Linked DNA regions of Schizosaccharomyces pombe. The protein of the gene in region 2 binds, or shares a complex with, the protein of the main gene of each other region. Each region holds a gene or a part of one and is shown on either strand. Other genes may lie near its edges. The genes, in order: rrp42, rrp46 and rrp40.

Region 1 (11,685 bases), 3.6 Mb from region 2:
TCTTAACCACTAAGAAGTAACCTTAAAAAGACGAAAGATTCCGTTCTTCGGATTCTACCTCTTATTGCTCATACTTTTAGCATATTTTTCTGATCTTTAGTATAATAAAGATTAAATCCATATTTTTACACCTATTTCTTTCTTTTTTTCTGCTTTTAATAAATCAGAAAAACCGATTTCACGTTTGCAAGCGAAAATCAATTTCTTGCTAGCAAATTCATTCTGCACTTTCATCAGTTTTGAATCTGAGATACTCTTTCGCGTTTATATTAATTTGATAGAAATATACGAAAGAAAAGTCAACTTCGTTCAATCTATTTATTATTACTTTTTGGTTGCCCTTTTATCCATACAACCAATATTCTAAGCATTTTCTAATAATGATAAATACATTCAATCCCGAAGTCCGTCTGGCCATCCACGATTTGGATAAGGTAGGTCCTGCTATTCCTCTAGAGAACTATGAAGCGGCATTACGTGCAATTTTAACTGGAAAGGCTTCACCCGTCGAAACTGCTTCCTTCCTTGCGAGCCTTCATTTGACCAAAGCCGAGGAAGTTCCCGATATCCTGATGCAAACAGTTCAAATTTTAAAGTCTTACTCCACGCCAATTGCTAATATCGAGATGGTTTCTCCCAGATTTGTCGATATCGTTGGGACGGGTGGTGATGGCCATAACACGTTTAATGTCAGTACTGCCTCTGCCATCGTTGCTGCTGGTGCAGGTCTCTGGGTCTGCAAACATGGCAATAAAGCTTCTACATCTGCCAGTGGATCTGCTGATTTGTTGATGTCGTTTGGTTGTGATCTTCTTAATGTCACTCCCAAAAATATCGTTTCCATTACTGAACAATGCAAGTTTTCATTTTTGTTTGCCCCCATGTGTCACCCTACTTTAAAAAATGTTGCCCCAATTCGTAAACAACTGGGACTTCCCACTATATTTAATTTAGTAGGCCCTCTGTTAAATCCTATTCCTACTTATGCTCGTATTATCGGAGTTAGTAAGCTTTCGTTAGGAGAAGTTGTTGCTAAGACATTATTGAAACTTGGAGCTGGTCGATCATTAGTTGTTTGTGGTGAAGAGGGTTTGGATGAAATCTCTCCCGCTGGACCTACGCATACATGGCTTGTTCGTGACGGAACAATTACTCATGAAGTATACACTCCAGAGTCTTTCCATCTTCAGTCTCATCCTCTCTCCAGTGTAGCCAGTGGCACTCCATCTGCAAACGCCATTCTTTTGGAGGAGTTATTATCAAATATGCTGCACGCTAATCATCCGATTTTGGATTATGTGTTGATGAATACTGCAGCGTTACTTCATGTTGCTGGAATGGCTGAATCTCTTAGAGAGGGTGTCAAAATTGCTCAACAGAGTATCTCTTCTGGGGCAGCACTGAGAGAGCTAAGTAACTTTTCTACTATTAGTCAGCAACCCTAAGGTTTTTATTTCCAAGCTACATTATATCCTAGAACATATATCCGTTCAGACCCCATTTTTGTATATTCCCTTTCTCTTTGTTTTTCAACGTGCCTTTGCAAAAAAAAGCATTATTGTTCTTTTTTTTTACGTTTGTTGTTTATTCTCACTCCTTTTCCATATGGGATATTTTTCTTTAGCTTAGGTCTTATATATCAGTTAGTTATGGATCTATAAAAATCGTATTAGCGATTGAACTGTAGTATATTTAAAATTTATATATCATGTTTACTTAAGCTTAATGTCTTAGATGGGATATTAAGCACAATTGTGTTACGTTTCGCTATATAAAATAGCGAAATACAATAATCCAACAATTTGTGAATAGATAAAAAGTAGCAGACTAATATCATCCGAATTGCGGACCCCATTCCTTTGTATTCAATCTGGGGATCATATAGAAAACTGTCGATTTGATTGTGAGAGCATGATTTCGAAGTTACTGAAAATAGTCCTTTTAACTGCAGGTGTTATTGGCAACACACTTGCTGATTCTAGAATTCATGAACAATATCTTGTAAAAGCATTTCCTAATGAGCCTGTTGATTATGAGGGAAGAATGCATGCTGGACACTTAAATCAAACGGATCAGCTGGATGGTGATTTGTTTTTCTGGATGTTTGAATCCGTAAAACCCGAATACGAACATCGTTCTGTAAGTATTTCAAGTGAATGTTTTTAAATTAAATTATATATTATACAAATTACTAATTTGATAAAAGATTCTTTGGTTAAATGGAGGTCCTGGCTGCTCTTCAGAAGACGGCTCGCTGATGGAAGTTGGACCATTCCGTCTTGATGACAATAATACATTCCAATTGAACCCTGGACGCTGGGACGAATTGGGTAATTTGCTTTTCGTAGACCAACCCCTAGGCACAGGGTATTCATACTCTCTGGCTAAGGATTTTCAATCTAACAATGAGAAAATGGCCAATGATTTTTCTATTTTCTTTGAGAAATTCTTGGAGGAGTTCCCAGAAAGAGCAAATGATGAATGGTTTATCGCCGGAGAATCATTTGCTGGTCAATACATTCCCCATATCGCTGCAAAGTTGAAAGAAAAAAATCTTGTTAACTTGGGAGGCCTTGCAATCGGAAATGGATGGATTAACCCACTTTCTCATTATGAAACATACCTAAATTATTTGGTAGAAAAAGGCATGGTTGATTTTGAATCAGAGCTGGGTCAATATTTACATCATTCTTGGGCGGAATGTTTACTTGCTTTTGACAAGATAGGTTCCGGATCTGGTGATTTATCTAAGTGCGAAAGTTTTCTTGGCGATATTTTATACATGGTGTCAAAGGAACCTGGGAAAGCATGTATGAACATGTATGACATTAGCTTAGAATCGACATATCCTACTTGTGGAATGGACTGGCCTTACGATCTTTCCTATCTTACTGAATTTTTAAGTGTATGTTTATAATTATATGATAATATATCTTTTACTAACATTGTCAGACTCGTGAAGCGATGACTTCCTTAAACGTTAACCTCGAAAAGGTTCATGATTGGGAAGAATGTAATGACGACGTTGCCCTACAATATGCTCGTGAAGGGATTGAGTCCTCATCTAAGTTAATCCAGGACCTTGTATCTACGGTTCCTATTTTGTTGTTTTACGGCGAAAATGACTTTCTTTGTAATTATTTATCTGGCGAAAAATTAACCCGATCACTGGAGTGGAATGGTGCTGTTGGTTTTCAAAATCAATCTGCTCAACCATTTTATCTTCCGGGCTATTCTGATCAACCATCGGGCTCCTATGTTAGTTCCCGGAACCTGACCTTTGCTCGCATAGTTGAAGCTAGTCACATGGTTCCATACGATCATCCTAATGAAATGAAGACCTTGATTACTGCTTTCTTTAATAATGACTTTGCCAGCTTACCATCGGTACCTAAACCCTCTCCGGATTTAGGTAATGGAAACTACAAATGGCTTTATTTGGGTTTGATTCCTGTTGCTTTAACTATCATTATTTTATTCTCAATTTATTTGTGCAGGAGATTTGGATTATTTGGTCTTAGCAAACAACGCTACCAACCTATATCTCCAACTCCTTAGACTGTATATAAATCTTTTCTGTCGGTTTTTACTTTCACATACAGATTTTCTGCTCTTTATTTTAATCATTTAACTTTTAATCTTGCTTTATCGGTGGTAGAATTTATTTTTTTATCTTGGAACGTTCTTCCCTGGTTTTAAAAAATCTGCGATTATCACCATAAATTTTATCTCTCATCTTTAATCAAATTTCACTTATGGATACATTCTTTGAATTTTTATTTTTGCACATAGTCTCTAAATGATCTCAAATCATGAATATGAAATATCATGTACCAAACATTGTCTTATAGCTATTGTTTGTTCTACAGTTTTTGTAGTTTTTTTATAGGACAGATTAGCGTCAAACGCTAATCTCAATAACGTGTTTGCAATAGTACAGTATATCATGGAGAACTACGTCTTGTAACATGTGTCACAAATGTATAAATACTAGTGAGATCTGTCTGTTTATATTGACAATCCGTTACATCCCTTAATAATCGATTATTATAAATAATTTATAATCGAATCACGTTCCTAAATTCAGTTAGAAGCTATAGCAATGGGAGGATTCTATCACATCTACGCATGAGAACAAAGGAGAACTGCAAGCTAATAACAGATCTACTGTAATCATATTTGACAATCCAAAATCGACGCACGTTATCAGGGACACAATTGATGCGTTTGGTAAATTTTACAGACAGCCTTAACTAAATAGGTCTAGGCAACGAGTGAACTAGCTCTATATCAAAGAAGAAATTGGATAGTTTTATTTCGATGACAACGTCTTTAAATCCATGATCCAATAGGCCCAACTTGCTTGTGGATGGATACTTACAGATGGCACGCTATCGAACAGAACACCAGATATGATCTTATTGCTACTCGGCCAAATTGCATCAAAGTGGTAAATAATATTTCAGCGTAGGTTTTGCATCCAAAATTTTGAAGGAATAGGTTATAATGAAGCACCAACTGCCCAAGCATTTTCAACTGATGTAAACTTGCGAAATTTTTAGAGAATGCGCCTTTTCTGCTGTGTCAATAAACAAGTCTTAGCTAATAAAAAAACATGTCGCAGTAGTACTGACAACGCTATAATTTACTACGTTGTGTATCACATTTGGAACATGTTCTATTTAAACATAGCCTCGTAGATGATAGATATTGGGGCAAATCATTTGATATCTGAAACAAATATTTAGTTTATATGTTCAACAATTTAAATAGGAAACTAAATTTCGTTCCTCACTTTAGTCAGAAGCTAATAACAGAAATAGATCATAAATAATACCTACATATACCAATATTTTCAATGACTCATAGCCGTTATACCTATGTATTATAATATAACAGATCACATGTAAAACTTATCGCGGTTTTGCATATCGTTAAACAGATACAAAACTGCGTAGCATACATAACGAACTTTAGAATATACGCAAGAACTCAACGCAATATTGCAAGGAAAATTATTCTTAAACGATATACCATTAGCCAACATATGCAATTGTCATTACCAGAACTATCGTACACACACAAATCAATAACAGAATTTGAGCCTGCAATTCGGAATGATGGACGTTCGATAGACCAGCTTCGTCCGCTTTCTGGACAAGTAGATGTTCTGCCTGGTACAAATGGTTCTGCTAGAGTTAAATGGGCGTCTTCGGTGGAGATAGTCATAGGTGTAAAAGCAGAAGTGGGTGATGCTACTCCCGAAGGTGGTAAATATGTCGCTTCAGTTGAAATGTACGTGAGATATTTGGAGTTCGTATTAACATTGTTTGGCGTAACAAACAATATGAATCAATTGAAAAAAGCTGGTATGCTAACACTTTTTATGTAGTTCTCCATCTGTTTCAATCCAGAATCGTGAAACCGATGAAATTCCTTCATTCCTTACAAGTGCCCTTCAGGATTTATTAAACGCACTTGCTGTCGACTATTTGAAATTTACACCATCTAAAGCTTGGATTATTCACGTAGATGCTGTTGTAATACTTTCTTCGTCTCCTTACGAAAACATTCTTTCAGCTTTAAGTCTTGCTGCTTATTTAGCATTACAGACTACACGTTTACCTAAAATTTCTACCCCCAATGTCACAGACATCACTATTGGATCTACTAAATATGAGCCTTCCGAAGAATACGATGTTGATTCAGAATGGGAAAATGCATTACCTTTGCAAGGGTTAGAATTAATGTCAGTCATAATTTTGGTTAGTAGCATTGATCAAGTGATAATTGTTGATCCTACAATTGAGGAATCAAGTGTCGCTCAAGTGACATATGCGATTGGTGTTCAAGCTAGTGGTGCTATTAGCTATACCAGGGTCGTGGGTACTGGAGGAGGCTACGCATCCACTGGACGTGCAATAACTGTAGAGCGATATATAGAATTGTTAGAGACTGCGTCTACCGTTGGTACTAAGCTTTTGAACGCCAGCAGCGATATTCTATCTTTTAAGGGTTTAGGATTTTTTGATATTCTTCCATAAATGAATTGGGTTGGGTTGGTCTCCATTTCCTATATAATAGCATCTTTCTCTCTATATATATATATAAATGCAATACTTGGGTTACGGAATCAGGATCAATTTTGTTACATGAAGAGGCATGCATCGGTATTTTTGGTTACTATGGTTGGTCATTGTATTTCGTTTAGGTCAAAGTCATATAGCAAGTATAGTAGATGGGAATAATTTAAGGGAAATGAAATGGTAACGTCTATAAAAATAATAAAGCCTATGCGGCCACTTCTTGGCTTGTTTGGTCAACGTGATCCAACATTTTTTGGATCTTAGAAACAAGTTGCTTCCGTTCAAAACGCAATTTCTCGCTGCCCAGTACGTCAACTCCATCCAATTTTAAAAGCTGTTGTAAAAGTAGTTCACTTATCATTAGTTTCTGTTTGTTTTTCTGCTTTGGATCGTTCGACGGTTTATTTACGTAATTGTCGTACATGGGGGAAAGTTCTTTGTCAACATACTGATCGATGGCTTTTATTTCTCCAGAAATACGCGAAAATACAGGATTCTCCGCTTCCGCTTTCGGAGCGGGCTCAACCGTGTCTTTTTCCTTGGAACCTCGTTGTTGCTTATGTGGTCTTATACATAGAATTTTACTATGATTTTTTAAACCCAATTTTGATAACGAGGCTTTTTTGTCTTTTAAACGCTTGCCAGCGTAAAAAAGCTTGACTTTCTTCTCAGAAATCTCAGTCGTTTCAAGTAAATCATCAATCAGTTCACTTAACGTCTCATTTAGATTGACTGCTACCGGAAATCGCTGATTTCCATAGTGTATTGTAACTGTGCTAGTCTTTTCTGACATTGACGATATTAAGTCGACTTGCTTAACGGATCCAACTCAAGATGTTTTATGTTTTTAAGGCTGATGCTATCCAAAAAAATGAAGGTCTTAATGCGACGCTTAAAAACGAAAGGTAATAAGTTAATAAAAGTATACGAGCGGTCTGGTTATCTAGGTTTGCGGTTCATTATGACTCATAAGGTAGACTCTGCAACTCTGCGTTATATTTGTTAGCAACCATAAAATGAAAAGATTAATAAATAAAGTATGGGATTTTGAAAATTGGAAAAGTAGGAAACAATGATAATTTGACTTACATTTTTTAAACAATCGAATCTTTGCTTTGTGAGATGAAAAACATCACGGAATTGGGTAAGGATCATATGAACTAGAACATTCCGATTAAGTTGGCCATTTTCTATGTTTTTAAGTTGAACTTCCATTTCTTTTCGCAAGAAAGGCTTGGTCAAACTCCACTCTAAACCAATTTCATCATAGCCTTTTGCCAAAGCAACTCCTAAAGAGCTTGGTACAAATTCAGTTACACCTTGGCCCCTTTTTTTTCGTTTTATGACATATTCTCTCTCCTGAACTTTTTCGATGTGCTCTGCCATAGTAGCATCTGTCCCGATTCCATTGGCATCCATCAAGGCAATTAACTCCGGTTCAGTGATATAGGAAGGGGAGGACGTTGAACTGTCCATCATGTCGAGAATGTGGGGTTGGAATTCCTCGTGAAGTCTATACTCTGGTAATTGATCCGAACTTTCCCATTTCTCATATGGATAAACCTCTAAATAATTTTTCTCTGTCACTAGCAATCCCTTTTTAGAAAAAAGCTCTTCTTCCATTTTAACCTGCACCAACGTTTCGGCTCCTTTGGCATTGTCAGAACAACAAGCTAAAAATCTTCTTGTAATTAGCTCATATACTTTCCAATGATCTTGGGAAGGAAGCGCTGACCGGTGAACCATTTGAACGGGATGAATAGGTGGATGAGCGCGATCATTGTGTTTACCTTTTCGGGGCGGTCGATAATCTCCAGCCAAAAGCCTAACATTAGTTATTACGGAAGCCACTATAAGAAAAATTATATTTACCCTTCTGCATAAGAGTCCCATTCTTGTGCACCTGTTAGTTTTTGGATAATCGCATGCAAATTCATTGAAGAGTCAAATTGGTCGGTTTCAGTACGTGGGTAAGAAACAAACCCATTAGTATATAAGTTTTCGGCGAGCTGATGAAAATGATGTTAAAGTTGCAAATTCACTTATAATCAAATCGTACCTCTAAAGTTTTCTTAGCAGAAATTCTTAGATGTTTTGGCCCCAGTTTTGTAAGTTCTACAGTTGATAATGGCAGAGGTTTATACTTGGTTTTTGGTTTTTGAGTTATGTTAACGACCTTAGCAGTTTTGCATTCTAAACAGTTTTCCAAGATGATCATTGTAGTTAATCTGTCAAAAACTTTGGCCCTTTCCCAATTGAACTGAATAGTCTTACCCTGTCTTTTATCAACAAATCGAAGGTGCCAGTAGGTTTCAGGCACAAAGTCTTCTACTCGCTGCCACCGATCAACTACAAAGCCTAATGTAGGGAATTGGCAGGGACCATAACTTATTATTTTATTCTGAAGAATATCGAATGATTTTTGTAATTGAATAGTTTGTAGCCGAGTGAATATTGCACCTAAACGAAAATCAAGTTCAATTCTAGCATCCACAGCATCTGCAGCATTTTTTGAAACATCTCTTGGACGTTTCGCGGCACTGATAATATGTCTGAAAATTAGTTAGCATTTATCTTGAAGGGTTTTTTCTGTAATAAATAAATATCTGCTTTTTAAAACGCTAAGATGTTTATAACTTACGACCGTTCCAAATTATTGAAGTCTGCTCGGATAACCTGAATAGATGGATTGCTGGCTCTAGCTACATTGGAGATTTCCACCCCAATGTGTTCACCCTCACGATCACAATCGGTCCAAATATAAAGGTACTGGGCATTTCTAGCTTCTTTTTTAATATTGTCTGCTAGTACTTCTGCATTCTTTGATACTGAGGTGATGATTTGAGCATCGAATAAAACGTCTTGAGGGACAGAGCTCCAACTAGAATATTCAGAAGGAAAAGAAGCTTCTGTTAAGTGACCGGATACAGAAGTCATTGTAACATCAGAAGATCCAACATTGCCTCCAAAATTAAATGAGAAGTCGTAATTTTTTACATACTTACTTCGTGTATCTCTCTTAAGAGATTAGTAAATTTCAGAAAAGATTAAATTTTTTAACAAACCCTTCTCACGTGTCCACCCCCTAGAATGCTTGCTACCGATTTGGCAATCGAGTTTTTTTCAGCAACACATAGGACGCGCATTTCTTTTAAGAGATGACATTTATTACTTGGATATTGCACACCTTCTAATTATATCTCCCTTTTTTAAAAATGACTGCAGTGTAAAATTCGCGTGTAAGGTGTTAAGGTCGAGATGGCTTTATTGTTTATGCTAACAAATGTTGGTATAATGAAAGGTAGTAAATCGAGGACCAGAAAGTTCATTAAAAAAAATCAAACACCATACCAGTAGTTAATTATACTAGAGAATTAAGAAGAACCTCTTTAGATAAGTAATTATATAATTTTGATGTATGTTGCATTGAAGAAGTCCATGTAATAACTATTTCTTAAGCTTTCATAGTCAGGACGGTTTAATGAATAGATGCGCCGAATGTATAACAAAATTTAAAATTAATATTTTGTTTGTAAAAAAAAGTTAGAAATTTAGATATTTTTTGATTTTTGAACCCATCATTCGCATTGTAAACTACATATTTATTTCTATAGAGCATGGTAAATTGATGTAAGTTCCTTAATTAATTGAAATTAAAATAAATAGATAAATGAAAGTTCTCTTATTGACTCAAACCGGGATTGATAATATTTTAATTTGTTTTTATATTTATATTTTCTCATCTTTTAAATGCAAAATAATTATCGATAGCTAAAAAAGAAAAAGAAAAATCATGCACTATCGATAGAGTGAAGGGACTGTGCAGAGGATTTTTTTTGTTTTTTTAAAACAAAGCGACCTTGTCTAGAAGGCAAGTTTTTGTTTCACAGCTTCTCTCGTAAATCTCAATTAACTACTTTGATTCCATACAATTGGTAACATGTTACTTTCCTCACCACTGTAGTAGACAAGTGCGAACCTGAGATAACTGATGAAGCAGTAGTAAGCATTCTTCCACGAGGTTTCTACTTTTTTTAATATAGTCTGAGGTTTATTATTCTGAAATATAAAACACAAAAAATCCATGTTCGATTAAAGCGATTGAATTTGGGAAGTTTAGGAGGTGCGATTAACCAAAAATTTGAAATTTAATTTCTTTTTCATCTTTTCATTTTGTTTTGTTTATAACAAGTTTTTGCACTTTGGCTTCCACAATATTGACCTTTTTTAATGGATGAGATACAGGAGTCATCGTGTAATGAAAAATTGAGTGACGAAGACCTTGCAGCCGAGTTTGTTGAATTTACCGATAATATTCCAATCGAGATTTATCGTTCTTTACGTTATATAAGAAAATACGAGAATTTTTTTGCAAAAGAAAATGAAAATTTAAATACCGCTGCCAGGTTGGTGTGTGATTGTCCCATTTCAGAGGTCCCAAGTGCTAAGCAAAAATTGGCAGATTCTCTGTTTACATCGCATGAGTATTTACGACAAACAAGTGCAGAAGCAAACAAGTTATATGAAAACGTTTTGGCCTCTTATAAGCACTTGTGTGAAAAAATAAAATATCTAGAAGCAGATAATCCGCTTTATGTTCCAGCACCATGATTTCATTTTATTTTTTATTTTTTTGATAACCAGTTTCCCTTTCATAATAATATTTTAATTTTTTTTTTGCTGCACTTTAATGTTGGCAGTGCGATCCGTGCGTATTCTGTTTACTTTGATATGAGAATTCTACCCATTTACGGTTGATGGATAAAAGTGCCTGGCGATGATGTTTAACCTGTTAGCGACAATTTCTATAGCTTTTCTCCTTTTTTTTCGTATATAACTATGATAAGAGATTTTTAATTTAGGATTATAAGAGTCATATTATTTATTATCAATTGCCAGTTTAAATACTGAAACGCTAATATTGAACATTACTCAATTCTGAAAAGTTGCATTGCCAGTTTTCATTACTCCCCAAGGTTTATTTCTCCTTTCTTTTTTTATTATACTTTCTTCTGAATTTTAGAATTGATAACAAAAAACTTTGCTAATATACAAGTAAGGCAAACGATTTCAATGTTTGGACATTGCTCGGACAACTAAGTGTTCTTAATACATTAAACGCACTTCGGTTGTGTGTCAAACAACAGTGTTTTTACCTTTATGTATTACCTGAAAATGTGTCTATATTTATTCTCTTCAAAGATACAATTAAACGAATATACCAAAAACACTTATTACTAAATACAAGTACAATACCATACACTCAGTGTCAAATCAAATATCTTAAACCGAATTTATTTTTATCAGGAATTAAGTGGAACCAACTAAAGCACCTAGTAAGCAACAGCAGTCTCTTGTTCAGCAACAACCTCTTGGCCAGCAGCAGCAGCGGCCTCAACGGGTTGGTTGATAACAGTATAAGGCTTAGTAATAGGCTCCTCCTCCTTGGGGTCCAAAACGACAACAATATCGGGAAGAGACTTCTTTTGACGGGTCTTGGGCTCAGGCAACATAATTTTAACCTTAACACCAAGAACACCTTGACGAAGGAGAACGTGGCGAGTAGCAGAGTCAATGAAATCAACAGCAGGTTGACCAG
Region 2 (11,795 bases):
TCACTAGTATGACTTTATTGTCTTTTGTACGTTCAGTCCCAGTGGTCGTCCACTTATTGGAAAGGAGCTTTAAATATGAAAACAATATTCCCTTCATTTGAACATTATATGATTTTGGTAATCCCATTTCAAATTCTTTAAACGGTTTCTAAAACATGCAATTCATTACCATTGATTATGGCTATGAGATGTTATAACGCAATTGTTAAAACCAAATATTCACTATTTTAATTCTAAGATCACTTCTCATTTAGTTTAAAGAAAAACAAGCAAGGATTTTCACACTGAAGGGTTACTTCATTTAATAAAATTGTAAATATTCTTTTACAACTGGATCGAGCTAGAAGATTCAGAACTTTTATATGCAGCCTCCATTATTTTTTCTACTGCCAAAACTTGATCAGATTTGATAGGAAACTCGTTAGCTTTTTTTAAGATTTCCTCAAAAACCGCATCGTAGAAGTCCCGGTAATTTCCCTGAACAGTAGGAACCGTAATTTTAGTTGGTTCAGGCAAAGCTTTCACGTCAGCATCCAAAGGAACAGTCCATAAGTTTCCATAGAGCTCAAATCTATCAGTTCCAAATCCATGATCGTTAGGCTTCATTCCTGAATGTAATTGTGACTCTTGTGGGTCAAACCCAAATTTCATAAAAGAACCACGAGTGCCCTTAATACAGAATCGCATTTCACAGCCGCATGACACATTAGTAGAAGACAGAATTACGTTGATTGGAAGTTTGTTTCCTTTAGCAGGGTAATGAAGAATAATACGAAAATAATCTTCCACCTCCAAAGGAGGAATTTGACGTTGAGCTTCCAGCTTGGCAGTAACAGAGTAAGGCGTGCCAAACAAGGAGACTGCTTGATCAATTAAATGTGAGCCTATCCCGTACACCATTCCGTTCCCGGGTCTAGGTTCATCTTTCCAACTTCCAGATTTTCGACCCAGACGGTATCGATCAAAGTGAGATTCGAATTCAACAACTTGACCAAGTCTTCCGCTTTCTATTATTTTTTTAGCAGTCAGAAAATCACCATCCCACCGACGATTTTGATAAATTGCCAGTAGTAGGCTTTTTGATTCGGCAAGTTCATAGAGCTCTTTGGCTTCCTCATAGGTAGGAGTAAACGGCTTTTCACAAACCACATGCTTACCAGCGTTCAAAGCTTTTTTTACAATTTCAGAATGAACATTGGGAGGTAGGGAAACTACGACCAACTCAATATTGACGTCGGCTAATAATTCATCCAAGTTTGTATAAACCAAAATATTGGGATATGCAGAGCGTGCTTTGGATTGTGTAACTGTTGCCCTACGTTCTAAACATGCATAAATTTCAAATTTTGAAGGTAAAGCTTCAAGGAATGGGAAATGAAAAACAAAAGCTGACACACCAGTTCCAAGCACTGCAGTCTTAATCGGAGGCATAGTTTAACTTAATCAAAGTAATGATTTGTAAGCTGTAGAATACAGAAATTTTTTTAATACGAGAAAATATCGAACCGCTAAAGGAAGAATTTTACTAACGACAGTGTAAGCATATGATCAGATATTAATAATCGGTAATTATAAAATTTTAACCGAATGAAGGGATCCATTTATCAAACATAATCATCATTTAGCTAAACATATGCTAAAATGCATTCATGTGAATACTTGAAAGAAAATGTTTGAAATCAGTCTATTTTACGAACTTTGATTTTAGACATACCAGTTACGCTTTTTTATTATAACAAGAAAGCAGTAAGATTTCAATTAAAAATTCAAGTAATAAAAAACTGATTTTTGCTAATCAATCTGGAAAAGGTTACAGAGTCAAAGTGGATGAAATAAACTAAATTTAAAAGTAGTTTGTTTTCGACAGCTCGATTACCTAACAAAGATCGCTTATTAGCATGTCATTAAAATATTAAACACTATAACGATCATTAGGTTGAGCTTGTTAACCATAGTTATCATAGCTTTTGCTTTGTAATTAATATCATGCCAATATTTCCTCTTATAAAAACGGGAATTTTCGAACAAATAATGTACATACTATGGGATAAACAGTCATCTACTCAAAGATATTTTTATAACATTGAGCTTTAGCGTAGTTGATGCCTAAGATCAAACAAAGTAATGACTTATGGGAATTTTGAGGAAGTAAACATTTGAAGTATCTGTTTAAGTGCTTCTTCTAAAATTCTTTATTGCCTGCCTTCTTTCAGAATACAAAGTATCGCCTTAACAATTCACTTCGGTTTTACTATTTGAATGGTGTTCGCTTAGATGAGCTTAAAAATTTTATAGAGTTTATTAATTTAAGGCCTTTACTGCGTATGAAGATAGTTTTTCTTTTTCTTTTTTTTTTTTAAGCTAATGGCATCAGTTTATATTTCTGAGCCAACTTACTACCCTTTTTTTTAAAGTAATTAGTGAAAATTTAAAATATCATTCATGAATTCACATGCTAAAATAGCGAATACATATGCCTTATTTTATCTACTAAGAAGCTTTCAAAGTTCTTAACTCAAACATTTCAGTATTCCTTATTATCACGTTTTAAGAATTTCCCTCCTTTTTTATATATCATTTAACAACATTTGTTACACATACAAGATCATAACTTCATGCAGTAGCTGTGTGTAAACACTAGTATATTAATATATAATTCATTTATTTGTTTGTGGTCTACTAAAGATAAAATAAAATAAGAATAAACATAAGAAATATTAATAAGCCAAACCAAATAATCACAAAAAATACGTATATAGGCGTTTTATAAATATCTGCGTTTTGCTGGAATAATAGTTATGAAACTAATGAACGGAATTCAACTAAACATACTCTACAGCACCAATTAAATTCACTATCGATACGAACTTCTTTCTTCGGGATTTCCTTAAAATCACTTAACATCAATTGTCAAACTTATTAACAAACTGAAGCAATACTTGATATTGACCAAATTAATATTATTCTCGTACTTTTTAATTGAGTACAAAAAATAAAGTTGCCATTGTTTGTTGAATATACAAAAAATGGAAAAGAAATAAATAATACTTTAATAACATGAGTTCCAATGTATTATTGAAATTCCATGCGATTAACTTTTTTACTAATATACAGAATAACTCCACCTATCTGGGATCGTATGGAAGTATAGTTGCTTATACTTAGTTCCATTAAATTTAAAATTTTTTAAACAAGAAATTTTTTTATTAAGAACAGGTTTCTATTTACCAACGAAATAGGCTTGACTTACTAGTTTCAGATTAACATTTGCTCATGATTAAGACAATACGCAAACGCATATACCGAAATCATCGCAATTCACTATAATAAAAGCAAACTGCACTGCCGAACGCTATTCAGAGGCAAGAATAATCATGCATCTGTCCAACGATTTATATTTATTCACTTAAAAACATATGTCTTTAATCACTAAGTACGTCTTGTAGTTGACATATTTTCTTTCTAATCTTTTGCTTTTCATCTACAATCGTTCTACAGCTTTATATCCACTCTCACTTTATCATTCCTGAATGAATTCACTAATTGATCAATAACCACTTTTTTTCTTTACTTTAGTTAGCTTACGAAACATTATTTTTGTTCAAAAGTTTGTATTTAATTTGGTCATATCATCATGCTGCAAGTGCTTCGTGTTTCAGCTCCTTGTTTTGCTTTTGTTGATACTATAGGAAGCATTGGAGTTTGCAGGGTAGTTCGCTTTACCACATTTCATAATACACCTATTGAAGTATACAACAAGAAAGTTAATGACGGCGTATGGAAACGTGACCCGTATCAAGAAACAGCGGTTAAAGCAATCAACCGTTTGTATACCGAATTGGAATCGTATACACAACCTCCAATAACGCAAGATAGTATGCCAGCTGAAAAGGGATCAATCCTATCTTGGATATCCCCCTTAAAGAAAATGTTTTCTAGGAAGAAGTCTCCCACTCTAACTTCTTCTTTACCTGTACCGGGTATGCCTAAAGGTATATATCTATATGGTGATGTGGGCTGTGGTAAAACCGCTTTGATGGATCTATTTTATCACAACTTACCACCCAATGTTACTCGTTCTCAGCGCATTCATTTCCATGCATTTATGATGCAAGTTCATCGCACTTCACATGATTTGCAAGATCGTTATGGGTTTGAGATTGATTTTATAGATCATATTGCATCCGGAATAGCAAAAGAAACAACAGTGCTATGTTTTGACGAATTACAGGTAACCGATGTCGCGGACGCTCTTTTACTACGCAGACTCTTTGAGGCCCTTATGAAGTATGGTGTTGTTATCTTTATTACTTCTAATAGGGCTCCTTCTGATTTGTATAAAAATGGAATACAAAGAGAGAGCTTCATTCCTTGCATTAAACTTTTGGAACATCGTCTTCAAGTAATTTGTTTGGACAGTCCAAACGATTACCGACGCCTAAAATCTAAAACAGAAGATACATATCTTTATCCTGCTAATAGCCCAGAAGTTAAGAAAGCCTTGGAAAATTGGTTTCTTTGCTACGCTGATGAGAAAGATCCTGCTCACCAAGACGAAGTTGAAGTATTTGGGAGAAAGATAATCGTTCCAAAAGCAAGTGGCAACGTTGCATGGTTCACCTTTGAACAATTATGTGGAGAACCGAAAAGCGCTGCCGACTATCTTTCATTGGCAAGCCGTTACCATGTTTTCATCGTTTCAGACATTCCCAAATTGAGTATCGAGTCGAAAGACCTTATCCATAGGTTCATTACATTTATTGATGCCCTTTATGACACCCATGGAAAACTCATCTTATCATCTGAAGTTCCAGTTCAAGAAATATATCCGACAGCACCTTCTGAAGTACTTTCCTCTACGGCTGATCCTGCTGCCAAGGGGAAAATTGAATCTCACTATCATGGAGCATTTGGTGGGATTGAAGAGGTATTTACCTTCACGCGTTGCTTGAGTAGACTTTCAGAAATGAAAAAACAATCCTGGATTCATTCTCCTTAATACAAAGGTGATTCCTTTATAATGAGATTATATATCATGATGTATTATTTTTAAAAAAATATTTTGAAAGATGGCTATGAGTAATTTCTAATTTTTTAGTGGTTGGGCTGTTACAGATCATTCCAGTTTCTCCTATCATTCAGCTTTAGTAAAGTAAAAATTGGAAGAATTTAATTACAAACCCTTATTAATACAACTCCCATTGTCACCAAACTATTGATACATTTTTTTCTGCTCTCATTCTGTTTTCGAATAACGAGGTGTAAGCTAGCTTATTTCCTACTTGTGCAAAGGAAGTAGAAACGTTTCTTCTGTCTCTGCAAGCAAGCAACTTTGTTGCATTATAGAAGCTGAAATGAACCGTATAGGTATCCTCTCAAGGTCTGATGGCTCGAGCGAATGGAAACAAGGTAATGCTATTATCCACGGTATATTAGCCAAGCAAATGCCAATTAAAAAAAAATGAATTTTCTTTATGCTAACATCATTGTAGGTTCTGCTAGGGTTATTTGTGGTGTCAATGGTCCTATTGATGTAAAAATCAGGGACGAAAGGCTTAACAAGGCCACCGTTGAAGTTTTGGTTCAACCTGTGAGTGGTGTCGCTGAGACTTTGGAAAAGATGATTTCTAGCAGAATTGTTGGTATCCTAGAAGATGCAATATTTCTAAACACATATCCAAGAACACTTATACAAGTGTCAATTCAGATAATAGAGGAAGATGGCACAGATACATTGGCTGCCGTAATCAATGGTGCGGTACTTGCTTTATTGGACGCAGGTATCTCTTTAAAATATATTCCCTGTGCAATAAATTGTCACTGGAAGAACAAAATAACTCAAGATGAACCTGATGTCGATGGGACAATTAACAAATTGGAGTCTATTATTACTATTTGTTATTCAATTTCCTCAGAACCAGCCAAATTAATTTTTCTCGAAACAGCTGGCCCCATTCCAGAAGAAGATTTTTTCCGTGTTCTGGAGACAGCACCATTGCATGCCGAGGAAGTTTCTAAGAAAATGAAAGAATTGCTTTTTGAAACGTACAACGAGAGCGATGGTCATGAAAATGAAAAGAACCCCAAAGAGGATGTTGAGATGGATGTGGTTGCATAAGAAAATCAATAAAGTGCATGTAAAAAGTCCATCTCAAGGACCTTCGTTTCGTATTTACCATTGTACCTGTTAAACGACTATACCTTTGAACAATATCTTTGGCTGTTCATTTTTATACTTAGATTTTATATTACTTGGGCGATATACATTGGGTTATTTTTAATTTATTTTAGTTTATTACTAATTGAGAAACCAGAACCTAAACAATCCTACTACATTAGAAGGTTTACTGTCATTCTTTCAATTCACTAGCAATTAATGTGTTCTTTCAATACTTCAATGTATGCTGATACATTTGGGTTAAATCATAAAAGAAGATCTGTCATAAGACAATCGTTCAGTACAAGGCCTTGGGTATATACACTCATGACTTTTTTTTTTAATTTTGCCACTCACTCACTTACTCTATACATATTGAGTCTATCTAACGTATCAAGCTGTTAACTAAGAGAAACGATTTGAAAACACATAGGAAGGTCGCACACATTAGCTGTCTTATATACTACTGAATTTTAAGTTTAGGAAATCATTGAAGGTAAAATAGGTAGAAAAGTGAATAAAAGGCATTCATACCCAGGACAAAGCATTGCCTTCATAAACTGGGAATTTGCCATACACTAAAAAATTACTGTTGCACAACTTTTCCTAAAAAGTAATCTAATGTAGTAATATTATACTACAGCAGGTATTAATATTTTTTCACATGTCCTTTTTTTTATGTGTTCGCCAAATATGACGGTTATAAATTTAGTTAAATACTTTTGATTGAAGGTACTATTAGCTACAATTTATGAATAGAGATCAATTGACCCGGTTCTCAGTCCAGTTATAAGCTGATTCAACGATGAGTTACACCCTTCATGCCACAAAATTTATAGCATTTGTCACCCATATCACTTTTTTTAGGACAAATAACATACACTACCAATGTAACATTAAATGTGATAACACAGTGCGTTGCTAACATTTAGCAATTCTTTTCTTACCACGTAATACTTTTTATGGATAACCTTATTCCGCGTTATTTTTCCCCACTCACAGCACACTTGATTGCCGAGTCCAATCAAGTTGATATGAATAACCGTGATGACGGAATTAGGGCGCTTCGTAGACCTTAATTGTTTACATACAAAATGTTCAGCTATGCAGCCCTTTCGTCCACATTCAACACTCCCCCATCTCTTCTTAAAAAAAAAATAAGCAGAAAAACTCGTTTTCTGTAAAGTAGAAGGTATTTTAGAATACACTACAATTTTTTCTAGTAAAACTATTATTGGATACCTTTTTTTCGCAGTTCTAAAGGCTTATTTCTGCTAGTTATAGTAATTCACTGTGTATTTAGGAGAGGACTCAAGGTTGTCGTTCTCTCTTTCTATTACTGTCTATTAATATCGTAAAATAGCTCAATTTTGAATGGGTTTATCTCTTTAGTTTGCTTGCTCTTTAACATTTGTCATTATCTCATACATTTTTTTACTCACGCCTCCCTACCACTTATCACTTAGTCCTATTTAAGGGGAAATTTGTTTACTTCTTTTTTCTTAAAAAATGTCGGTCTCAAAAGCTAGACTACAGTCTGTGGTTCGCCTGTCTCGTACAGTGCCATATTCAAAAACGATGGTTCGTTCATTTCATGTATCCTGTGCTGTAAAGAACAGTGGGAATGTTCCTACACCCCGTAACAAATCATTTTTCTCTCGAGCACTTGAAATGGCGGAAGTTACTTCTTCTTTGTCCATGTTGGGTGCCGTAGCCCTCTTCCAATCCTTACGAAGACTGAACAACAGTTCGCCAAAAGGAAAATCTGGTGTTCCGAAAAAGAACATAGTTGTTTTGGGTTCTGGATGGGGTGCAGTCGCGGCAATCAAAAATTTGGACCCGTCCTTGTACAACATTACCCTCGTGAGCCCTAGGGACCATTTTTTATTCACCCCTATGCTTCCTTCATGTACCGTGGGTACTTTGAGACTTCCAAGTATTACTGAGCCCATTGTGGCTTTGTTCAAAGGAAAAATTGATCCCTCCAACATTCACCAAGCTGAATGCACTGCCATCGACACATCGGCTAAGAAAGTTACCATTCGTGGTACGACCGAAGCTAACGAGGGAAAGGAAGCGGTTATTCCGTATGATACGCTTGTTTTTGCTATTGGAGCTGGTAATCAAACATTTGGTATCCAGGGTGTCCGCGACCATGGCTGTTTTCTGAAAGAAGCGGGAGATGCCAAGAAGGTGTTTAACCGCATCTTTGAAATCTTGGAACAAGTTCGATTCAATAAAGATCTTTCTCCCGAGGAACGGGCTCGTCTCTTACACATCACTGTTGTTGGTGGTGGCCCTACTGGAATGGAATTTGCAGCTGAGATGCAAGATTTCATTGATAACGACGTTAAGGATATGTTTCCCGAGCTTCAAAAAGACATCCATGTCACGTTAATTGAAGCTGCCCCCGGTGTTCTCCCCATGTTTACTAAATCTTTGATTACGTATACGGAGAATTTATTCAAAAATCTTAACATTAAGATCATGACTAAAACCGTGGTTAAAGATGTTAATGAGAAGAACCTTATCGTTCAAAAGACCAACCCTGACGGAAGCAAGGCTATGCAAGAGATACCCTACGGAATGCTCGTTTGGGCTGCCGGCATTACTGCTCGTCCACTCACTCGTACATTGATGTCTTCTATCCCTGAACAAAGCGGTGCGCGCAAAGGTTTAATAGTTGATGAGTTTTTTAGGGTCAAGGGTGTACCTGAGATGTACGCCGTTGGTGATTGCGCATTCTCTGGATTACCTGCTACTGCTCAAGTTGCTAACCAACAAGGTGCTTGGTTGGCTAAGAACTTGAACGTCGAAGGAAAGAAGTTTGCATTGCATGAACGGATTCAAGCTCTTGAAAAACAGTTAGGTGAGAAAGAGGCTCCTTCTCAGGTTGCCGGATTGAAACAGCAAGTGGAGCAGTTGAAGTTAGAGCCCTTTAAATACCATCATCAAGGAGCTTTAGCTTACGTTGGAGATGAAAAGGCCATTGCCGATTTAAAATTGCCATTTATGAAAAAGATGCTGCCTTTGCAGGGAATTGTCGGCCACACCTTTTGGAGACTTGCATATTTAAATGAGTTGATTTCTGCTCGATCCCAATTCATGGTGTTGATTGACTGGTTGAAGACAAGACTATTTGGACGTTATGATGCTAAGGTTTAATGAACGGAATGAAATACTTTTGGTTTACAAGCAATTGTTTCCTTGTGCTTTGTCGTTAATCATAAGATGATTATTTTATACTTGAAAAAGGAACGTATTTGAATAACAGATTTCGAGATGAACGATTCGTTTCGACTACTACTTTGATAATTTAAGTTTATGTTATTCTAAATGATAATACTGATGCCTTATTTGTTCTATGATGGAATAATTCTTAGTGTTACTCCATTGATGTATGTAGAAAAGCTGGAAGTTAACAGTTGACAGGTAGTACAATTTCGTTACTCAACGAGACTATATGTTGCATATGAACTGAAAGAATTATATTTATGTCTTACTGTATTCAGAACCACTTTAATTAGAGCCCGTATAAACCATGTTCTCTGCTTTTAGCTAGCTAATCGTATAATTAATATGCCATGCTGGCTTCACCGGCACTAGATTCGTTGTACAGTATTATATTACACTACCCCATCAGGAACCGTTTCACAAAAAACCCGTTCGCTTACATAGCAACATTTCTTAGATAATTTCATATTTCTAATCCACTCCAAATAAGATATCCTTTCTTATATAGATTGAAAGTTTTAAAATACTGCTTAAATATGCTTAGTTGACTCTACCTTGCTCACTTCAATTTTAAACCGTTTTCAAAGGTTCTATCAACTCCATCGCACCGGTACTTTTTAAGATCATTTAATGATATACGTTGTATAACATAATAGATGATTCACTAAAAAAACTCACCGTAGTACTGATTGCATCCTTATAAGCCTAACAAAATATGTAATTATTCTGTTAAGTTATTTACAATATTTGTATTTGCCGCTCAATATTGTTTAGCGCAATAAGGTGATATAGCCTGGCCAAAGCAGAGAATGTCGAAGAATCTTTCTACTTGCAAAGCAATTGAAAGTTGAGGCTTTATTCTTGTTTTTAACCCTCAATAATGTCTCTAAACCAAAAAATAACAAAGGCAGTTGCTCTTTGGCCGAAGGATGAATTGCGACCTTGGTTGTCGTTTCCTAAGACTCTTGACACATCTATTAGAGCCAGACTTCAAAAGATGCCACCTCAACAGGCTAATAAGCAGTTAAACGCTTTGAATAATTTGCTTGATAATGTCTATTGGAATAAGGTATGCTTCTTATTACGTGCCTTGATAGGGTCGCCTTACCTTTGTTCGCCTTTTAACCAAATTGTAGTATATCCCCAAGCAAGTAGTATTGAAACCACAATTTAAACCTTCTTACTACGAAAGTCTTACCCAAATAAGAAGAAAAGAAGAGAAAGCTCCTCTTTGGAAAAGATTGTTTAAACGGAAATGAACTCCCATTATGCGCCTGCGAGACATCCTATTTATTTATGCCTTGATTTCATAATACTTCAATTAATGTGTTACTTCTATGACTTTCTAGGTTAAATGATCTTTCGAGATATATACTTTTTTTATATCTCTTTACTGCGCCTTGATGAAAATTTAAAGACAAAGTGATATCTTACTAGTTATGAGGGTGGGCTATTTTAATCTAAATTGTCTGTCTCAATGTCATTTCTTGTGTTAAAAATTCATTTTCGACTAAATAACGAATGGAAACACGATAAAAGTAGATAAATAAAAACTGTCCTTATAAAGCATTAGTATAAAAAATATATTCATTGCAGCACCACTTTCGATTACCAAGTAAAATCTCTCAGCAATGCGACAATTTCGAAAAAAGTAAAGACCAAAAAAAAAACCATCCTTTTTTTGATACAAAAAAAAAAAAAAACTAGTAATACACATAAACCAAAACAAATAGAATCGTCACATTCAGATACAAATGATAAAACATTCTTCATAATTTTCTGTTTCCTTATAAAAAAAAGCTTGCTTCTTTAAACAGCCGATCTCGATGAGCCGTGTTGACTTTGTGAACATAACCAAAGTGCCTCAATTGCTAATGAGCGTACAGTGAGGTGCTTTACTTGGTCACTGGCAGCGGCGGCAAGTAATTCATAGATATGTGCATCTTCGACTAGTGTATGCAATTCTGGACTGAGCACCTCTCTGAATTCGCCAGAGTTTAATCGGTAAATAATCCTTCCAATAGTCTGAATAGCAATGCATCTCTGGGTTGGGAAACTTGAACGCAAAAGATGAGCCAGCTCAACTAAAGTGTATCCGGCACTAAATGGTGCGTCTCCATGATGATGAAGTCCTTCATTAACAGGGATTGTTTGACTTTGAGAGGGGGTTATAATTTCACCTTTGAAGCCAAATCGAATTTCATGAGCATGCAAACTCTCGACAGAAGGATGATAACTATTCTCGGCAGGACTGGGATCATGCAGCCATTGCATTTGCTTTTCATCAACAGGTAAATTCGGAAAATATTTATCATGAAGTTGTTCATAAAAACTTGGGTCATTAGGATCCAGCGTTACTTGCTTCTCTGGAAGATGCGTAGTATCAAATTCCAATGGCGCACCA
Region 3 (6,606 bases), on a different chromosome or scaffold from region 2:
GTGTTGTGTATATTTTAAAATTGCTTTACTTCAAAAACTTAGAATTTGTTTTTTGGACGAAAATAAGCTGTAGTGGATTGTGTAATGCCTTTTTCATTAAAAAGTATTATTGGAAGTATACTAAGTTAGTATAAGTGTCCATAGTCAGAATACGAGCATAATCGTGTCACTATTCGGTAGGCTATACAATATCTTCACTTGCTGCCAAGTACAACATATATAGCTTGTTTGCTACCAAACACATGTGAGCTTATTCTAACAACTAAGTACATAAGTTTTCTTTTAAACTATTCAAAATGGATTTGTACGATTATATGGCACCTACAACCACTACAGAAGAAGATGATGAAGAGGGATACGAAAAACTGAAAGAAGAAATGGGTTCGGCTCTAAATGTAATTTATCCTTTATGATGATTTACGGCGCGGAATTTACTGACATTTTATACAGAATCTGACGAATGGAAAGTTTGGTTTGTTTTGGAACTCAATGAAAGAAAAGGTGTGTTGATTGCGAATAATGGCATTGTTACTAACCGTTCAAAGAGTGAAAACTTTCTTGATGATACAAAGGGAAAAGCCTCAAGTGGAATGCAGCAATTAAAATCACAGCTTGAAGAAAATATACCTGTTAATTCTGCTATGGAAAACTTGCGAAAAGTAGAAGAAACAGCAGGAAGTTTCTGGAGTGGCTTCGGATCTACAGTGAATGGTTTTTTGGATCAAGCATTGCAGATATCACCCAAAGAAGACGATGTATCGACTCCTACACACGAAGCCTCTTCGTCTGTTTTCTTAAATCGCCACGAGAGACAGTTGTTGGAACTTGTTCAAAACGAAAATACTTTTACCCAAATTATCTCTGAACCCTCTCATGGGATCACGTTTGAAAGCTGGGAAAAAGAAATTTCCATTGATGGGAAAACTGAAGAGATCTCTTTACTTTTGGAAGAATATCCTGATTTAAGGAAACAGATGGAATCTTTAGTACCTTCTGAAGTTTCTTATGATGATTTTTGGAAACGATTTTTTTGGCATAAAGAGGTTGTACAGCCGATAAAGGCAATTCAATCAGGAAACGATGAAGAAGAAATTTTTAGTTGGGGAGATGAAAGAAGTGATGAAGAAGAAAGTGACAATGAACAGGTTAATGATGAAAAAAAGCAATCAAGTGAAGAAGATACTACTGAGAATAATTCAGCAGCTGAAGTGATAGATGAAACCGTCAATGATTTGGAGTCAGCAGTTTCAAAAGGCTTACAAATTGAAACTCAACCCGCAAGCCATGATGGAGAGGTTGATGGAGAAGTTAAAGAAGAAGAGGAAAATAAAGTATCATCTTCCAGTAATATAGAAGCTTCTCAAAGTTCTCTTGAGGTGAAGGATGAAGCAAATAGAAAAGTTGATGACGATGATGAAGACGATGATGACTGGGAATAACGACTCTCGTCAAACTATTAAAAAGAGATATACTGTTTTTACTTCTCTTCTATTCATTTACTTGTTTTGGTGTGTTTTGTTCGTATAGCTAATTATTTGTCTGAAAACATTTTGTTTACGAACAACTCTTAGGTATATTATTAGCGGAATATAAAAAACATCTAATCTTGAGTATGCAGGTTGGAGTAGTAGGACTAGAGCATTAATCAACCTTCTTATAATATTATACATTTACATATACTTTTTGATTGTGAAACTTAAGGAAACCAGGATTTAAAAGTAAATCTGTATGGGTCGACGACATCAATAGATAATAAGTCCCTTAAATAATGAAGATTTTTAAGGAGAAAATGAATTCTGATATCACTTAGCTGCTTTTAGTCTTTTTTAAGTTTCTTCCAGTTGTTGTTTATTCACATCACATAGGCGAAGATCAACAACTCGACCATGAGCAGCACCATCTTCTTCACCAACGAGTGCGTATTGATCAACGATACATTCTAAGCTGCTAAATGGCTTAGTCAATACTTCGGTATTGTAAGCGTTTAGCACAACGTGAATGTAAATAACAAGAACAAATAACCAAGTAGGAATAGCTAGAGCCCACCAACGAGATAGATAATAATGAATCTCAAAAAATTTGAGAACAGGCGCAGGCGTCAGAGCCCAAACAATATACACGCCGAACCCCAACATTGACACCAAATACATCACGAACCCGTAATACTCATAAGTAGGAACTTTTACCATTATATCCCAATCTTGTTGATCAATTTCTGCAATGGCAGTTCCCTCTTCATCAGGCGTTGTAGACCTCGTTCGAAACATCGTAGTCAAAGATGGCGACGGTGGAACCAACATCGGATGTCCGTAAAACGGAGGATCAAAAACAGTAGTTTGCCTTACATCTTCTATCTCTCCTTCAGCAGAACCCTCTATCCCTTTTATGAACGTGGAATGATGAGTAAGTGTCATCCAAACATGTGTTTACTATGTGCATTTGTTAGATGAGAGCGCGTACTGAGATGATACAAATACAACTACGTCTGCTTACGATGTGATTAAATTCGATATCCCTATTAACGACATACATACAGAAAATCCTCGTAAACAGCATTATAGCACAATGTACGTTTGCGTTATTTTTCACAGTCTGGGCTAATGTGATTTATAAAATTAACGAGATTTACAGTATTAGTTTAGACACACTTACCGTCCAAGACATTAATCCTCGAATTATAGTGTATAACTCGCGAAAAATCAAACCCCAAATAGCTAATTTTCTTCTGTTAACCAAATGGCTGAAGTTGAAGAAAAAGGTCTGTTATCTTATTACTTTCCTGGTGAGCGGATACCAGACTCCATAATTAGTCAGGATGGATCAATTCGTTTAGGTCCTGGTTTAGTCTTTCAAAAGAAAGACCGTGAAGAAGAAATAGTGGTCTCAAAAGCTGGGAGGTTGCATCAAACTGGAAAAAATGCTATGTTGATAGACTCACGGACAAAAAGATATATTCCTGCTACAAATGATCAAGTTATTGGGCAAATTATTTCTAGATTTGCGGAAGGTTATCGAGTAGATATTGGGTCAGCTCATATTGCTCAATTGAATGCATTGGCTTTTGAAAATGTGACTCGTAAAAGTAGGCCCAATTTAAATGTTGGAAGCCTTGTGTATGCTCGAGTATCACTCGCTGATCGTGATATGGAACCGGAGTTAGAATGTTTCGATGCTACCACAGGGAAAGCTGCAGGATATGGTGAACTTAAAAACGGTTATATGATAACAGGTTTATCTTTATCTCATTGTAGGAAGTTGATCCTTCCTAAAAATACACTTTTACAGACCCTAGGAAGCTACATTCCTTTCGAAATTGCTGTTGGAATGAATGGTCGCGTTTGGGTCAATTCTGAAAATCTTTCTACTACGGTCCTCATTTGTACAGCTATCAGAAATTGCGAATTCATGTCTGATGAAGAGCAAATAAAGTACTGTAAAGACCTTATTAAAAAGCTCTAACGAGATTCAGAAAAAAAAATTTGAATAATATGCACAGTCTATTTAACAATTCTTGTCCAATTGGGTTTAATTCAAAAATGGTTTGCCCTTATCTAGGAGGGACCATTTCTGAATAAAGTGTATTGTTTCTTCTTTAATGCCTGTGTCTAATATTCCCATACAATTTCTGTCGTTCTTTTATTTATTACAGCAGCGTGTTCATACAATATCTACACTCGTCCTTTCTCAACTGTTTTAATTAAAAAATTACTTATTATAATGCATGAATATACAAATACAGATGCAAAGATAAGTAAGCAATAATTAATGCATGCATAATGAAAATATAATTGTTATTCGTGCTCGTAAATAGTTTTTAAGATCATACCAATTCTACAATCCCAAAAAAATTTCGTATCCAATTATTTCGTAAATCCTTCGACAATTGCAACGACACCAAGAGCGCCGGCATCGGGAACTTTAACATCATCACCAACGTAGACAGCACGTCCAAGTTTGGCTTGCATATCTGCAGTAGCATCAGCACCTTTACGAGCCTCCTCTACGGCAGCATTAAGATCATTAGTTTTAACAAATGTTTCGACAAATGGAACAAGAGCATCACACATAGTGCTGTCACCAGGACGAGCGGGAGTATACTTGAAAAGAGTATCAAGAGCAACCTTCAAACCAGCAGCCCATGTCTTAGATGAAATGTCCTTGCTCTTCTCCAAGGTGTCTTTCATGCCCTTCGCAAAGCCATGGAAGAAAATGGCGTACAAAGCACCAGATGTACCATCCATATTGTCTTCAATAACATCTGCGATATCACGAACAATACGAATAGGATCGTCAGAGAATTTGTCGGATTTAACAAACTTCAAAACACCTTCAGCACCACGCTTCAAAGTAGTACCACAGTCACCATCACCAGCCATCGTATCGAACTTTGTAATTTTAGGCTCTGCTTTGATGAGATTCTCCATCGAATTGACAATCGCCTGACGAACCTTCTCCTTATCGACAGTAACGGGAGACTTGACATCCTTCTGACCCTCCTCGATGCTGACATTGCCAATCTTGTTTTTGGACTTCAAGTCAGAGGGTTGACACAAAGGCCATCCGATAGCTTCAACAGGTTGGTCAATCAAATCAACCAAAGAGTATTCTTCGCCCTCGACTTTGACGCGGTCAGTGGTACGGAGCAAAGTGATACCGAAACCCAAGCCATTCAAACTGGTGGTAAATGGACCGGCAAAGATGCGAACGGGGTTGATTTTGTATTCTTTAGCCAATGCTTCCTTCACCTTGTGGCTAATGGCACTGAATTCAAGCATGGAAAGACCACCAAGGTTATTCATAAGTAAGACTACTTCATCGTCACCCTCAATCTTTACATAGGCACGGTCCTTGTCGGATTGATCCAACATTTGCTTAAGCATCTGAGCGATTAGGTCATCAATAGAGGGAATAGGGGAAATACGCTTGCATCCAGGTTCATTGTGAATACCCATTCCAAGTTCCATTTCATCATGTTTCATTTCATCTTCTTTTGCAATTGGCTCATGACCAGGGACGTGAACGTGAGCGAGTGAAGCACCGATACTAACCAAATTGTCAATAGCAGCCTTAGCAATGGTCGTAACGGCTTCCAAAGGTAACCCTCTGGCGGCAGCTGCACCAGCGATTTTGTGAACAAGAACAGTACCAGACAAACCACGACGTCCGACCTTACCGCTCTTCTTACGACCTACTGATACGTCATCTGCAACGGCAATAAGTTCAGCCTTCTTACCAGCCGTTCTTTGCTTCTCCAAGGCCATACCAAAGTGAAGGATGTCACCGGTGTAGTTTTTGCAAATTACCAAGGTGCCAGCCTCAGATTCGACTTGCTTAATACCGGTATAAATTTGCTTTGACGAAGGAGAAGCAAAAATGGAGCCTGAGACGGCGGCAGTAAGCATACCCTTGCCCACGAACGAAGAATGAGTGGGTTCATGACCAGCACCACCGCCGGAAATGACACTGACATTCTTTTTGTTGTAGTCATGGAAATAGATGAATTTTCCCTCTTCATGAACAGTTAAAGTTTTGTTCATGTCGGCCAAGGATTTAAGGCCATCAAGGACGAGGACTTCAGGATCGTTGATAAAGTGCTTATCCATATTTTAGAATAATAAGAAAAAGGTAAAAAAAAGAGAATAAAGCCTTAAAATAAAATTAAATATAAGTTGGATAGTTAAATCAAATATTCCCGAAATTTATGATCTAAGAATATAAAATGACTTGTTTTAGGTGGTGGGGAAGTGCAAGTGTGAGTAAAGGATTAAAGAAATAAATCTATGTGTCTCTAAAATCTCAAAATATTAATATCAAAATTCCCTTCAATGCGAAAAAATTAACACTTTATACGCTACTATGCTTCAACTGGTTTAAATACAAAATAAATAAACCAAGAATATACTAGTAAACGTTTCGTTTCGTTACGTTATGTCTCGTTTTCGTTTCGCTATTTCGTAAAAGTTATGAGTGTAGCGGAAAAAGGGAGCTTGAAGACGATTTAATAATGCTGGCCTTGTCTCTCTATATATACTATATAACCACCAATTTGCATGACGAAGTGCCCCGCACGTAACGGAAGTGATATTATGCTGAAACAGTGAATAAACACATCTAGATAACCGTAGAACCGTTTTTCATACCCTTCAACTAATTACGAAATGTTGCCGATATGAACAATTAAATTAAATATCAGCTTGCCTTGCCGAAGATGACCTCAATCCATTTTCCTAGTCAAAGAAAAATTTCGCTGACCTTTTGTAGATCATATGCTAGAAAAGTAGTAAAATCGCAGCGTAAACTTGAGTCACCTTTATGTAGCAAAAGATTGCCTTAAAAGGGCAAACTCTACCAATGCCCAAAGAAGCAATGGGACAGGACGATGGCTATTTATTGAAATTGTTAAATCGTTACGAACTGCCATAAGAACCTTAATTAAAAGAAGGTTGTCGAAAAGTGCTCCGGTCTGCACATGTGGAACCAGTCATCTTAGTTAGTGCAGCCCCGGTATTCCACGGTGAAAAGCAAGTTTGCAGTGTAGAAGACAAATGGACCATTTGTTCATCAGTATATACAGTTAGTTAAAAGGATACGAAAGGCTGGATCATT

Evidence for each region.
Region 1: rrp46 (region 2) and rrp42 share a complex: the UniProt entries of both Schizosaccharomyces pombe proteins name them as parts of the RNA exosome complex.
Region 3: rrp46 (region 2) and rrp40 share a complex: the UniProt entries of both Schizosaccharomyces pombe proteins name them as parts of the RNA exosome complex.

The regions. Positions count from the first base shown.
Region 1 is NC_003423.3:4,226,906-4,238,590, forward strand, and holds rrp42 (exosome subunit Rrp42), read left to right. Parts: upstream 1-5,035; 5' UTR 5,036-5,047; coding exon 5,048-5,295; exon of another isoform or gene 5,296-5,361; intron 5,362-5,392; coding exon 5,393-6,044; 3' UTR 6,045-6,291; coding exon of another isoform or gene 6,292-6,879; 3' UTR 6,880-7,029; coding exon of another isoform or gene 7,030-7,074; 3' UTR 7,075-7,175; downstream 7,176-11,685. Other genes in the region: phosphoribosylanthranilate transferase Trp4, read left to right, coding at 381-1,445; kex1 (serine carboxypeptidase), read left to right, coding at 1,912-2,139, 2,207-2,905, 2,953-3,558; BAG family molecular chaperone regulator Bag101, read right to left, coding at 6,292-6,879; top3 (DNA topoisomerase III), read right to left, coding at 7,030-7,074, 7,176-7,911, 7,959-8,095, 8,146-8,638, 8,728-9,104, 9,152-9,232; protein ptf2, read left to right, coding at 10,317-10,697; rps3 (40S ribosomal protein uS3), read right to left, coding at 11,420-11,685. UniProt on the Schizosaccharomyces pombe protein: Non-catalytic component of the RNA exosome complex which has 3'->5' exoribonuclease activity and participates in a multitude of cellular RNA processing and degradation events.
Region 2 is NC_003423.3:634,020-645,814, forward strand, and holds rrp46 (exosome subunit Rrp46), read left to right. Parts: upstream 1-5,312; 5' UTR 5,313-5,354; coding exon 5,355-5,409; exon of another isoform or gene 5,410-5,492; coding exon 5,493-6,118; 3' UTR 6,119-7,324; downstream 7,325-11,795. Other genes in the region: SPOM_SPBC115.03 (gfo/idh/mocA family oxidoreductase), read right to left, coding at 325-1,431; AFG1 family ATPase, read left to right, coding at 3,635-4,999; ndi1 (NADH dehydrogenase), read left to right, coding at 7,667-9,322; respiratory chain complex assembly protein Cbp6, read left to right, coding at 10,272-10,460, 10,528-10,650; rba50 (RNA polymerase II-associated protein), read right to left, coding at 11,201-11,795. UniProt on the Schizosaccharomyces pombe protein: Non-catalytic component of the RNA exosome complex which has 3'->5' exoribonuclease activity and participates in a multitude of cellular RNA processing and degradation events.
Region 3 is NC_003424.3:1,176,062-1,182,667, reverse strand, and holds rrp40 (exosome subunit Rrp40), read left to right. Parts: upstream 1-2,727; 5' UTR 2,728-2,736; coding exon 2,737-3,459; 3' UTR 3,460-3,812; downstream 3,813-6,606. Other genes in the region: SPOM_SPAC22A12.14C (BSD domain-containing protein), read left to right, coding at 297-395, 451-501, 546-1,439; mug84 (pig-P phosphatidylinositol N-acetylglucosaminyltransferase subunit), read right to left, coding at 1,827-2,414; dihydroxyacetone kinase Dak1, read right to left, coding at 3,861-5,603. UniProt on the Schizosaccharomyces pombe protein: Non-catalytic component of the RNA exosome complex which has 3'->5' exoribonuclease activity and participates in a multitude of cellular RNA processing and degradation events.